2 linked regions of the Drosophila melanogaster genome follow. The protein of the gene in region 1 purifies or fractionates together with the protein of each later gene. This does not show direct contact. Each region holds a gene or a part of one and is shown in the gene's direction. Other genes may lie near its edges.

Evidence for each region.
Region 2: the proteins of atms (region 1) and scny purify together in Drosophila melanogaster (affinity purification with western blotting; one study listed by BioGRID). This does not show direct contact.

Annotation. Positions count from the first base shown.
Region 1 is NT_033777.3:4,748,294-4,753,092, forward strand, and holds the start of atms (antimeros), read left to right. Parts: upstream 1-1,741; 5' UTR 1,742-1,761; intron 1,762-2,115; exon of another isoform or gene 2,116-2,500; 5' UTR 2,501-2,593; exon of another isoform or gene 2,594-2,655; 5' UTR 2,656-2,783; exon of another isoform or gene 2,784-3,315; coding exon of another isoform or gene 3,316-4,297; intron 4,298-4,503; coding exon of another isoform or gene 4,504-4,672; intron 4,673-4,746; coding exon of another isoform or gene 4,747-4,799. Other genes in the region: CG44098 (uncharacterized protein), read right to left, coding at 3,316-4,297, 4,504-4,672, 4,747-4,799.
Region 2 is NT_037436.4:5,767,122-5,775,211, forward strand, and holds the start of scny (scrawny), read left to right. Parts: upstream 1-1,880; 5' UTR 1,881-2,481; coding exon 2,482-2,812; intron 2,813-4,043; exon of another isoform or gene 4,044-4,189; coding exon of another isoform or gene 4,190-4,250; exon of another isoform or gene 4,251-4,375; coding exon of another isoform or gene 4,376-4,496; coding exon 4,497-5,254; intron 5,255-5,311; coding exon 5,312-6,955; intron 6,956-7,292; coding exon of another isoform or gene 7,293-7,490; exon of another isoform or gene 7,491-7,892; intron 7,893-8,067; coding exon 8,068-8,090. Other genes in the region: Ppat-Dpck (bifunctional phosphopantetheine adenylyltransferase - Dephospho-CoA kinase), read right to left, coding at 15-1,012, 1,080-1,638. UniProt on the Drosophila melanogaster protein: Hydrolase that deubiquitinates polyubiquitinated target proteins including imd. Required for preventing the constitutive activation of the imd/NF-kappa-B (Imd) signaling cascade under unchalleneged conditions.

The DNA of each region.
Region 1 (4,799 bases):
AATTTCAAGAGACAAATATATAGAAGGAAGAATAAGTAACTTTTGATTTTCCCTTGGCATACCCGATTCCCTCGTCCGTCGTCCGCCTTTATGGTAATTTTCCCGGACAAGGCCCTCGGTTTCCGTGTCTTGCCCGGCTTATTGCCCATTCTCCTATGGCTATGGCAGATCGGGGAAACTGGTCACCTGGGATGGACAATGTCCGGCGGACACCGATCAACTAGAGAACTCTCGTTCGCGACAGCTGCCTCAGAGCTAATAGGAACAGCGAATAATGGAAATTTATATGTACATATGTATTTACGATGAACAATTGCGAATAAAGAAAATAGCAGAACAGCCTGCGACGCAGCATACCCACACATATGTACAAAGTACATAACCGAACACACACATATGTACCTGTAGACGTGTGAGTTGAATTATGCCTCTGCCGAAAGTGGCTGCATTGGTACATCGCGGACGGAGCACGCCTCCAAGTCCAGCTATTAACTTACCTTAATGCCGCCATCGTTTTTGTTGATCTCCCGCAGAACGCCGCGACCACCAAATCCCATTCCTAGGCCATTTTCTGCGTCGTCGAATTCCATGGCATATGTGTATCCCGGCAGGCAGCGCTCTTCTACAGGCCGATGACACAGTTAAGCTATACGTTTTCGGATAAAACTCTTATTTATCGCAATATGAAATTGGTGACGCGAATTTCCAACGTTGCTTTGGCGAAAATGCCGCTACAATTTGAAGAAGCATAAGTGACAGTGTGGCCAAATTGCCAGCAGGGAAAAAATACCAGAGGGCAAATGTTACCTAGCATGTTATTAATAACATTATTTAATTGCACTTACACAATATTTCGATCTATGAATGGTTAAATAAAATCCAAGTTTTTCTTTATTTTTTTTTTCAACGAATTTTCAAGTAAATGAAAGTCGGTCAAAATAAAGAATTGGAATTAAAAAGGGAACAGTAGCTTTGGTATTATTACCATAATCACTTTTGTCACCGAGAATATAATGTTTGCTACCTACTTATGTAGATATACACAGTATTATAATACTGCATTTTATATTTCTAGCACACGATACTTGAAGAGTACAAGTCAAAAGTTTAAAGTATAACACAGGTAGATCGCATATAAAAGTTTTCAAGTACATTATTGTGCCAAAAAAAATTTTACATTTGACACAGTTAATACGCTTTTTTAAACAAACATTTGACACGCTGCAGTAAAATATTGATATTGGATATGTTGTATTGAAGTAGTGACGACTGCTCAATTTTTTTATGTAGTGAAATGTAAAATCATCTTTTATCACAATAAAGTTAAGATGTGTTGTTGTTTGATATTATTTTTATAAAGAATAACTTATAGGAATATATTTCGGAAAGTGACCTTATATAACAACGATTTATATGCATCGTATTGTACATATTTTCGGAGTCTGCCGTATTATTAGCGCAGAAAGTCCAAATATTTAATATTAAAGTATAAAACTAGGCACTTCATTCTCTTAAATCCATAAACGAGAGCACTTCTACTCGACGATTATGTTTCTCTTTATTAGGGCTGGCAACACCGTCACCCTATTTTGTTGCCTTCTGAGAATTGTAATGCAACCGCGTAACTCAACGACTCAACCGTTCGGGATTCCGAAAAGTTATATATTTGGAAATTTAACTAATAGTGAACAAGTATTTATTTATTCTTAACCAGGATCGGTCCGTCCATGTCCGTATGAACTTCGAGATCTCAGGAACTATGTATGTACATTAGTACGCATGTATAAGAGCTAGAAAGTTGAGATTGGCCATGAAGGTTCCAAACTTCGGTCCTATCGATTTGCCAGAACACTTCTTGCCACGCCCACAAACTGCCAAAGATTGCTATGCCCACACTTTTAGGAAATGTTTTTGATTTTCTTATTGGTTTTGTAAATTTGTACCGATTTACCAACAAAAGCAACGCCCCTTCTGACGCCCACAAACCGCCCACACTTCTACAAATTTAAAACTTCTTTTTGTTTTAATATATATTTTTTTTCAATTTCTATCGATATAACAGATATCCCTCGTTAATTAAACAAAAAACAAACAACGATAAAAAATAAATCAATTCGTTTTTATGATGATGCTTTATTAGAAAAATATTGCTCTTTTGCCATGTATAACACTTCCTTTTATGTAGTAACCAATATATGATAACATTCAACAAGTTGCTAAGCGTATTCACTAGGTGATGCAACTTTAAAAATATTATGTATTGTAATTTATGCCTTGTGTATTTATGTAGAGCCTGAAAACTACTAATTGTTTTATTTTAAATTAGCTTGGTAATTGATAATTACAATACGTAACGAATGTAAATTATTCAATGTGTAGGTTAATATTATTGTTGTTCTAATCAATTAGTATTATTAGATTAAGGTAATTAATAAAAGTTGTCCATAATATATAATTATTGTGTAACTACTCGTATGTCTTTTCATGAAATTCTCTCCAGGTGTTTACAACACAATCACTTAATGTGGAACCACAGGCCTTTAGAAGGATCACCATTTAAAGATGGTTTGTCTGTGCAGTGAGGTTCGATTCGGTACGTTTTTGATTTGGTTCAATAGTGACTGCTTAATACTGGGCTTTCTCCTTTTTCTCAAGGTGTGCTCCACATCTGACTTACTTTCTTATGAGACTACTAATTATGGCTGCGCTGAAGCTTATCCCAGACTTGAATGATTTAAGGTCTTCTGAGGATAGCCTAAATAAACTAATCCCTAAAATTAAAGGTAATGGAAAATATATGTATGGGTTTGGGTTTTGTCGGCGAGCTTATTTATCCATTTAAAATAATTTGCTCGAGGATTCTATTCCACAGCTTTAGCTTAAGTGTTGCCTAAGGTAATTTTGTTTTCAAGTGCGCGAGACTTTCTCACTTGAGCACTCCGATTTAGGTTGAAGTTGATGTACGTACTACAAAAGTGTGCGAAAATTCTAGTAATATATTGACTCTTCCTCTTAAAAAGGATAGCTAATGTGTCTTACAATAAGTGCGCCCATAAACTTATAAAGCGGGCGCATAGTATATACCGCTAACAAATTGTATAGACTATAGTTTACAAGTCACAGCACCACCAAAGTGAACCAGATCGCGGCCATAGCTGTGAATCTAGCAATATCTTAACTTTTTGAACATCTGCTTCTTTCCCTCAGCATATGATTTATTATCATAGAGGCTCCACTCCTGGGCTATAGAAAAATTTCTATATCTTAAGTCCAAACACACCGCTAATTTGTCAACGCACGCTTTCTGAAGGCAGTTCACATGGGTGGGCCATCCTCGGTTATCTTGGTCGTCCAAATGCCGGGCATCAGTTGTGGAGGTAGATTCGATTGCGGCGTGTTTAGTTTTAAAATAGTGCTGTTCGAGTGGATGGTCTTCGAGGTGGGGCTGTACCCCTTGTTGTCCATGCCGTCAATGATGGTGAACTGCGAGGTGATGTTTTGGGTTCCCTGTGCAGCAGGCGAGGAGGGTCTTGAGATGGGATGGGTCCTGGGACTGCTGATCAGGGAGGTGCACAGGCCACCGAGAATGGCCAGAGATGCGAAGGCCGTCTGGGGAATGAGTTGGCCGAAGACCACTGTGGATCCAATAAAGGGCGCTCCCAGCAGCCAGAAACGGGCCCAGCAAATCGTGGAGAAGGAAGTGATCTTCTTCTTGTCATCGGAAACCAGCTCCACCGTGCAGGTAGTCAGTATACTGAGCGTAGTGGAAATGGCCATCTTCGAGACCATGGCAGAGCACATCAGCAGGGCTACATTCGGATCCAGCCCAATTACGCTGGGCTTCGGGACCAGCCAGCCGCAGTAGGCAATGCATCCTGCCACGATGTTAAAGAGTCCCGTCCACAGCCACTTGCGGGTGGTTTTCAGAATCAGGAAGAGCCCGAAGAAAGTGCCCATCATCTCGCTGAAGCCCGCGAAAAAGGTGTTAATGTACAGGTGGTCGCGACTGAAGGAGCGGATGTTGAGCAGCATGCCGTAATAGACCACAATGTACAGCGACCAGGCCAGGTGCACACACACAATGTGTCGCACCGCTCGCTCCCCCTTCCACATCGACCACCAGCCACTCGGCGGAGGAGCGTCCATGGCGGTCTGCGCCTGCAGCTCCAGCTGCTGGTCGATGTCGTGCGGTAGGTTGTAGCCCGTCCCATTCACCTCCACGCACTCCAGCAAGATCTTCTTGGCGTCCTGTGTGCGTCCGCGGGCGATAAGCCATCTCGGCGAGTCGGGAATCCACCTGTAAAAGGGATGCGAGACGCAAGTGTCAGTATGGGCCACAAAATGTTGGTACACATGAATGCTGCACAGCAGTTCCTTTTTGGGCTAGTAATCCTGATAATAAATGTATTTTATGAGGGTTACTTATAATACGTTACTTATGCGAATCTAGATAACCCTCTAACTCTATGAGTTTGCTATCAATATCTGTTTTTGATTACTCACTGCCACAGATAGATTAGTATCACAGTTGGCCACGAGATGGCCATGTAGAGGTGGGACCAGCTGGACCAGAAGCTGGCAACTCCGGGCAACATCATTACCCCAATAGACCAGAACTGCTCAAAGAGTGTGGAGACGCAAGTTCGGTACTTTCCCCCCGTTATGTCGGCCACTGTAGTAAGGAGCAAATAATTAAAAATTCATTAGACATATCCATTTACATTTAAACTAAGTCTTGCCACTTACTGATTTGGCCTCCGGCCGTGTACATCTGGGCACAGCAAACGGCGGAGAGGCAC
Region 2 (8,090 bases), on another chromosome or scaffold:
AAATATCCATCGGGTTAAAGGCTGCTCTGGTAAGAGTCCAGTTCCTTGGTAAGCATTTTCCACGCACGCTCCGCCTGTTTCTGGGTGAATTCGTGATCCCATTGCGAACTGAATATCACATGCGACTTGGCCACGATCTCAGAATTGGGCACCTGACTGGCCAGTCGCTTTTGGGCCTCCACTTCGCTCAACTTGTTGCGCTCAATAATCCGCCGCACAGCCTCATCCGGTGGCACAATCATGGACCACACCTCATGGCAATTGGTCTCCCAGCCCGCTCGCAGCAGCACCGCTGCCTCCAGGACCACCACACGCGGCACGTCCGCCTGGGAACGCAGTGCATCCAGCCGCCTGTTAACCTCCGCAATAAGTTCCGGCCAGACAATGCCGTTGAGTGCTTGCAACTGCTTGGGATCGGCAAACACCAAGGGTCCCAGCTTGGACCGATCGATGCGACCATCGTCTGAAACAATACCCTGTCCGAAGTGCTGCACAATTCGGGTGTAGCACAACTGACCAGGTTCGTAAACATCGTGCGCCACCTTATCGCAGTCGATCACGTGGGCGCCCATGTTGGCCAATCTCTCGCCCATCTTGCTCTTGCCAGATGCGATGCCGCCAGTGAGTCCAATAATGTAAGGGCGCGGCGGGAGCTGTGGTCGTGGCTCCGGCCTTCTCCAGCGGGTTCCCAGCAGATCGATGCGTGTGTTACTCGAGCTGACCTTGGTCTCGTGGATGCCATCATGCACGTTGCTTTCAACAATGTCAATCACAAAGATCTCCAGCTCGCGCAGTTGCTTAGCGGAGCGTACCTCGTTGACCTTCTGCCCTCCTCGCAACGTCTCCGCACTGACCACAATCATGTCCAGGTCAGGATCCACTTGCGTGGGACCAAAGGGATCATCGATGGGCACAATTTCGTACTGCAGCGTATCATCTATGTCCACCAGGAACTCCCTTAGCCGGGCGATGCGCTCTTCCACGGGCAAAATCAAGTCCGGCAGCGTCTTTCCTGCAGACAGCGATAAGAATGGTCGTTAAGATAAGCGTTTTATTTTGCCAATTCATGCCCGTCTTACCCTTCGTCATGGCGGAGGTGGTTACGCCCACAACCAAACGCTTGCAGGTGCGCAGTACAGCCTGGGTGAGGAATATCTTGTGTCCCAGATGGATGCGATCGAATGTTCCGCCCAGGACAACCGAGGGATACACCTTAGGCGGCTGGGTGTCATCCTGCTGGGCACTTAAATCCGAGATGACCGAGTCATCCAGGAAGATTGTTGGCTTGCTGATGTTAAGATCCGCGCGAAGCCTGTCGCACAGCTCCGGATGATGTGCATCCGAGAAGATTAGGTCGACGGGCTGGCGCAACTTCAGGGATCCATTGGCACCTGGTCGTAGGGGAGAGACAAGGACGCGAAGGTCCAACTGCTTGCCCACATAGCTGCTGCTGTTGGCGTACAGCTGCGAGATTAGACGACCCCAAACCGGAGGCGGTGGAACTGGTGACGTCGTGGACGTTGACCCCGCCACATTTAGGTGGATGTACAGTGAATTCACGTACTTCTCGATGGCTCGCAGGGATTTGCCAAGGTGCTTGATGTTGGACACCACCAGGAGACCTGTGGATGAAGCCATTCTGCTCGATTGATTGCGACTAATTATGAAGGCTAGCTCAACAATTGCATCAACATTGTGCCGATGGGTTGTCGTTCCCAATCACACTTATCGATATGTGCTGATAAGGTGTAAAAATACCGTTATAAAAATTAAATTTATAACTTGAATAGTAGGCATAAATAAAAAATGTCGCTGCAAGCCTTTCAATAAGATATTGCTTACATATTCAAGGTAACAAATGTCTTATTAAATTTAAACCAATTTTTTATTGTTAAGAAAACATCGAAATACATTTTTGTAAATATCGTGAAATGCTTTAGGACATTTCGAGAGGCCTATCGCGTCACTTGGCCACTCGCGAGTTGGCATCCCCAAATGACGAAAATGAAGCGAAAAGAGAATCCGCAGTCGGAAGAAACACGAGGGAAGGAATTGCCATTATTTTCGAAAGCAGACTTTTCGTTCTAAAATGCCTGGCCGCGCACGAAATTGAAACAGATCAATTTGTGAGCGAACGTTTCTTAATCGTAATGCTCAGTAGGCCAACAGATCGAGATCGCAGCGCGAAAAAGCCAGAAAAAGAAGAGTGCTCCCGAGTGCGTTAGTGTGCGTGTGTCGGTGTCGCAGTCGGTGTGTGAAACAAGAAGTGTTCGAGAGAGGGGCGAGGAGAAAAGTGAGCGTAGAGCAGTAGGAGAGTTTTGAAGGACGTGTGGGCTGTGCAGAAGGATCTCTAGTATCTGCTTTGGATCGCACGCCCATGTGCATTAGCTAACTGGGTGGCGAAAACCACCAACACACGCCACACCACGCCCCTCACACCCGTTCAAAATTCCACCGCAAATCCCCAGCCGGAGCATCGCCATGCCCGTTTCGATGGCCGTATGCGAAACGGCGAATGTCGTCAACGCAGCGCTGCGCGAATCCCTTGGCGGCAACTCCTCCGCCGGCTCGTCGACTGACCAGGCCAAGAGCGGCGAGGACACCAACGGCAGCCTGCAAAATCACATCGTGGCCAATGCCAAACGCATCCTGATGGCCAAAATCGAATACGAGGAGGTGCCCAACTACCACGAATCGGTGCTGGAGAACCTCAAGTCCAAATATATTGTCATCAAGCCGGGAAATCCAGGCGCCATCAATGGCTTTAGTGGCAAAAACAATACAGGCAAACTTGTGGGCGCAAATGGACATGGTGAGTACACTGTGTAAAGATACAACAAAATGTAAAATCCAAAAGTTGCTTGCAAAAGTGGCTTTTTCCGTCTGCGCCTTCGTCTGTGTTTCTTCTTTGTGTGGCAATTTTTGCGCAATTTTCCATGTGCTATATCTTCATATTATATATATAAGATGTATATATACTTAAATGTATTTATGTATCGTCCCGTTTGTTTTTGCCAAATCTTTTGGGAATATCCCTCCACAAATCACGTGTGATGTTTTTCCGCAAACATATTTTTTTTATTGCTCCGCCTGCATTTTGTCGGCAGTGCAGTCGACGTCGGCAGCGCAGCATACCTGTACTTTTTAGGCGCTTCTGTATGTGAGTGCGTGCGTGTGTGTCCGTGTGTGACGGCGTTTTTGGGTGGTGTACGTGTAAACAGAATGCAAAGGAATACGCGGAAAAAGCAAAACAAGTACAACGCCGTAAAGAGTAAGCTGGAAAAGTGACAGCAGCAGCAGCAACAACAGAGCCGCCTCTTCCAAACTTCTGATTCACAGAAGTTGTGGCGGAAAAAAACGTGCTGTATTTCCAGCGGCAAATGAAAGAAGGAAAAAAAGACAAAAAGCACGAGGGCTCCCCTCCGTAGTTCCGTCTCTTTCCCCCGCACATGGCCAGCCCCAGCGGTGCTTTTATTGGCTTTGCTTTATTTTTTTAGATGCGGTAAATGCGCCGCAATCTGCTTTTGCGTGATAAAAAGAGCACAAACAAAGGCCAGACTCGCAGAAGTGATTCACACAGAGCAGGAAGTGGACACAAAGCTCAGCACCAGGAGCTGTTACACGATGTTTCGACTTTTCTTTTCTTTTCTTTTTTTTGGCCTGGTCAATGCCTCGAACACAGTTACAAAGACAATAAAAGGGGGGAGCATTGGGCCTACAACAACCACTGTTAGGTCGCGCCAAAAATTCAGTTGGCAACACTGCCGCCCCAACCCCCTACGCCAGAACGAGACCACTGTATTCGTCGGCAGCAGACACTTGGACTGCTTCACCACTCGCCATCCCTCTCATTCGCTTGCTGTTATCAGTTTAAATTTCTTCTTCTGCCAGTCGCCATCCCGCTCACACGCTAGCTGTTATCAAAGATACAATAGTGCTGGGTAATATCTGAGATATGTGTACCAGGATAAGTACCTCGATTGGTACACTTTCCCAAACAAAACTGCAAGATACATATTCAGGGTACATATGAAATTACGATGCTGTGAAAATATTTTCAGATAAAATCTGGTGATATCACATTCTGTAACGATGTTCAAAGAATTGTATTTCAAAATCTAGTACTGGAAATTTTTTTCGGCGTATACTTTGTGTTCAAGTTTCTTTGTTCAATAGAATAGCTATCTTAATGCTGCACAGTCCGGTGCCTAGGTACAACAAATGTGTACCCTTTCCAACACTGCGAACAGGTGATGGAAGCGCGATTGTGTGTCAGCAGTTTCCACAGCGAGCACTGCTCGTTTTATTTATATTTCATAGCAGCGCGGATCAAGTGACTTAATCTGCAGAAGGGAATTCTTCCAATAAATGCATTATGACTGTGATAATGGTGGACGGGTTCGCCCTGTGGCTGCTCTACAAGCTGTTCCTGTCTCCCTGCTGCCTTCTCCTGTGGCACGTGCTTAAACTGTCTACCGTCCTCTTTACCTTTGCAGACAATAACGGCGCCCGCAAGCAAGCGGAGCACCCGAACAATCAGTCGCACCACATCAACCACCACAATCATCAGCATCCGACAAGCAATCCCAATGAGCTGCCCAAGCCGAAGAGGGTCCTCTATCCGCGGGAGAACATACGCATTGGCTGGAAGCAGTCGGAGCGCAAATGGCAGGTGGGCACGGGCATGATCAATGTGGGCAACACCTGCTACCTCAACTCAACGCTTCAGGCGCTCCTGCACATACCCGCCCTGGCCAATTGGCTCGTTTCGGAGCAGGCGCATCTGGCTGACTGCAATGTGGCCGAACCTGGCAGCGGTTGCATCATTTGCGCCATGACCAAAACACTTTTGGCCACCCAAAGCAATCAGTCGGCCGTCAGACCCTTCCTCATCTACTCGAAGCTAAAGCAGATCTGCAAACACATGGTCGTTGGTCGCCAAGAGGATGCGCACGAGTTCCTGCGCTTCCTGGTCGAGGCCATGGAGCGGGCGTATTTGATGCGGTTTCGTAACTACAAAGAGCTGGATCAGTTGGTTAAGGAGACCACGCCGCTGGGACAGATCTTTGGCGGCTATCTGCGCAGCGAGGTGCGCTGTCTGAGCTGCAACCATGTGTCCATTACGTTTCAGCACTTCCAGGATCTGTTGCTCGACATCCGCAAGGCAGACTCCTTGGAGGATGCTTTCGAGGGACACTTTTCTCGCGAACGGCTAGAGGATATGGGCTACAAGTGCGAGGGATGCAAGAAGAAGGTAGGTCTTTGTGACCTTTGTTCTGTAGTTCATTTTATTTAAACGTATCGCTTGCAGGTATCTGCCACAAAGCAATTCTCTTTGGAGCGTGCCCCAATCACGCTTTGTATACAGCTGAAGCGATTCTCCATGATCGGCAACAAACTGACCAAGCAGATTTCCTTCAAGTCACGCATAGATTTGAGCAAATACGCAGCCCGTTCACAAGCAGCTCAGGCTCAACCGCTCACCTATCGCCTGGTGTCGATGGTCACTCACTTGGGGGCGTCCCAGCACTGCGGTCACTACACGGCCATTGGCTCCACGGATACGGGCAGCTTTTACAACTTCGACGACAGCTACGTGCGGCCAATCGCAATGCACAGTGTGTGCAACACAAATGCCTATATAATGTTTTTCGAACTGGACCTCTCACAGGCTGCCAGTCCGGCGGCCAACAGGCCCAATGGAGTGCGTTTGACCAACGGACACAGCACAACGCCAGTGCCGGCGGCGACTGTGTCTTCGCCTTCACCAACGCGTTTCATTGGTCCTCAACTGCCGGCGGGTGGAGCAAACGGTTACACTAATGGAAATGCCCAGAAAACCGCCATCCAGTTCAAGCAACAAAACCAGCAAAGTCCACAGAACGGACTCCAGCTGGGTACCGGAAAGTTTCAGGACACTGCGAAGCCTCCACTGGTTGGCGCTCACGCTAAAGGCGAAGCTACTTCAGCTCCCACTGCAAATGGTAACAAAAGTTCCTCCCCAAGCAGCAACAGCAGCAGCAACCATAAATCAATAAACCAGCAACAATATCTGCCAATTTCCTCGGATGATGAAGACATCGAGGATGAGATGAAGCCCAGACCAACGACAGCCCAGCTACCGAGCATGCCCAATATGACGGAGAATCATACGGAGCCTAAGGCAAAGTCTCCTGTAAAGATTCAAGTAAAGACTCCCGTCAAAACGCCACTGAAAAGTCTTGTGCCCTACGAATCAGCATCTGAGGAGGAGGAGGCGCCTCTACCGAATCCCCGCAAGCGTCCAAGTGGGGAGGATTCTAGCGAGTCGGACCAAGAGTCTGGCCAGACCAATGGTCACAGTAAGACCAATGGCAGCCACACCAACGGCTCAGCCTCGTCATCGGTTCACGTTAACAACAGCAAACAAAAGACTGATGCCATAGACGAGATATTCAAGAGCCTAAAAAAGTCCGCAGACAGTGATGAGGACGACGATGAGGAGGAGCCCAGCATTCAGCTAACGAATGGCTGGCACCCACAGAAGCAATCACAGTCTCAAAGCAAAGCACCACCATCGCCAAAGACGCCACCCTCGCCAGCGGTCATCAAATCGAAAACGGGTATCTGGAAAGTTACGCGTAACGATGAGGTCGATGCCATCGAAGATGATGTTGACGTCGTGGTGGTGGAGGGATCGCCGGTGAAAATTCCGACGCCGAACAAGAACCATCGCAATCCCTTCTCGAGTAGCAAGCCCTCCACGGACTCGCCCGCAACGCCAGGCGCCAAGCGCCAAAAGTTGCTCAACGGCAGTGCGCTCAAGTCGCACCAGCAGCCAAGGGTGGGCAATGGCTACCAGAGCAATGCCACCTCGAATGGGAGCACCATCAATGAGCTGCTGAAGCAATCGTATCGTGGATACGGCTCCCCCGTGCTCAGTTGGAATGGCAAGCCCGCGGAGCTCGAAAAGGAGGTGAGTTTAGAGAGGCATTCACCTTGAAGCGCTTATCTATCCCTTGTGACCATGTCACTAACGTAGATACTAAATCTATGCATGGTTAACACTTTCTTTGGGTCTGTGCTTCAAAAATAACAAGTTGCGGGCTTAATACGATGAAAATGTACATAAATTGGTTCTCTTTTTGCGGGTTTAACTAATTCTTTATTATTTAACTGGCTCTTTGGTCTTCTTTTTTGTTTTCTATGTCGTTCGCTTAGCTGTTGCATAAAATGCAATTCGATTGAGTTGATTTACTAAACGAACTTGTTTGTAATTTGCATTTGTTTCCACATTATCCCCATTCATTTAGACTTTTGAGTTGGTTTGTGCGAAACGGATAGCTGGTCACGGCAGTGTGGAAGGCAGCGATATCGTCGAGGGCTCGGTTGCAGTCGACGCGGCAGTGACTAGTGGCAGTGACAGTAAAGATGTGGTCGTAATTGCAGTGGCGGTAACAGACACGACCGCTGACGCACCCGATCCGGATCGTCTCACGGACGGCCGGTAGGAGGTAGAAGCGTCGGCGGCAGAGGCGACGCTTCTTCTTTTTCCCCACTAAGCACATACCACACAAAACAAATACAAATAATACGATTACCCCGAATAGTCTGTGATGGCTGCGTTGCTGGTATCCGTTCCCAACCGGGCGGTCACCACAACGCGTCCTCCGTTCAGCGAGCGTGAAAAGTGTAGAGAGAGTTGCAAAAGTCATTGCGGGAGAGAGTGACTGCACCGGAGCCTAGGTAATTCACCCGATGACTCCGCATCCGTTTTCCCGTGCAATGAAGCTTATGATTTGACTGCTGGCCGGCACGTTGTTTCTTTCATTTCAACCGCCTGATACGCCATAAATTCAACCGTTGTGCCGTTACCGTTTTGCCTGATAACCTGTTACAGTGAACCGTGAACCGTAAGCCACTCACCCATTTCGAATACAATGTGCATATTCCCAGTGCTTGTTCGCGAGCGACCGTACTCATCTGCATAAGCTCCATTAACTAGCGCATGCGTCAGCCAGCCAGCCAAGCCTCCCCATTCACAAGGTCCGAACTCTAGCCTAATGCTTGATATTCTGTTTTCCGTAGCTACTGGTGGATGCGCGTGAGCA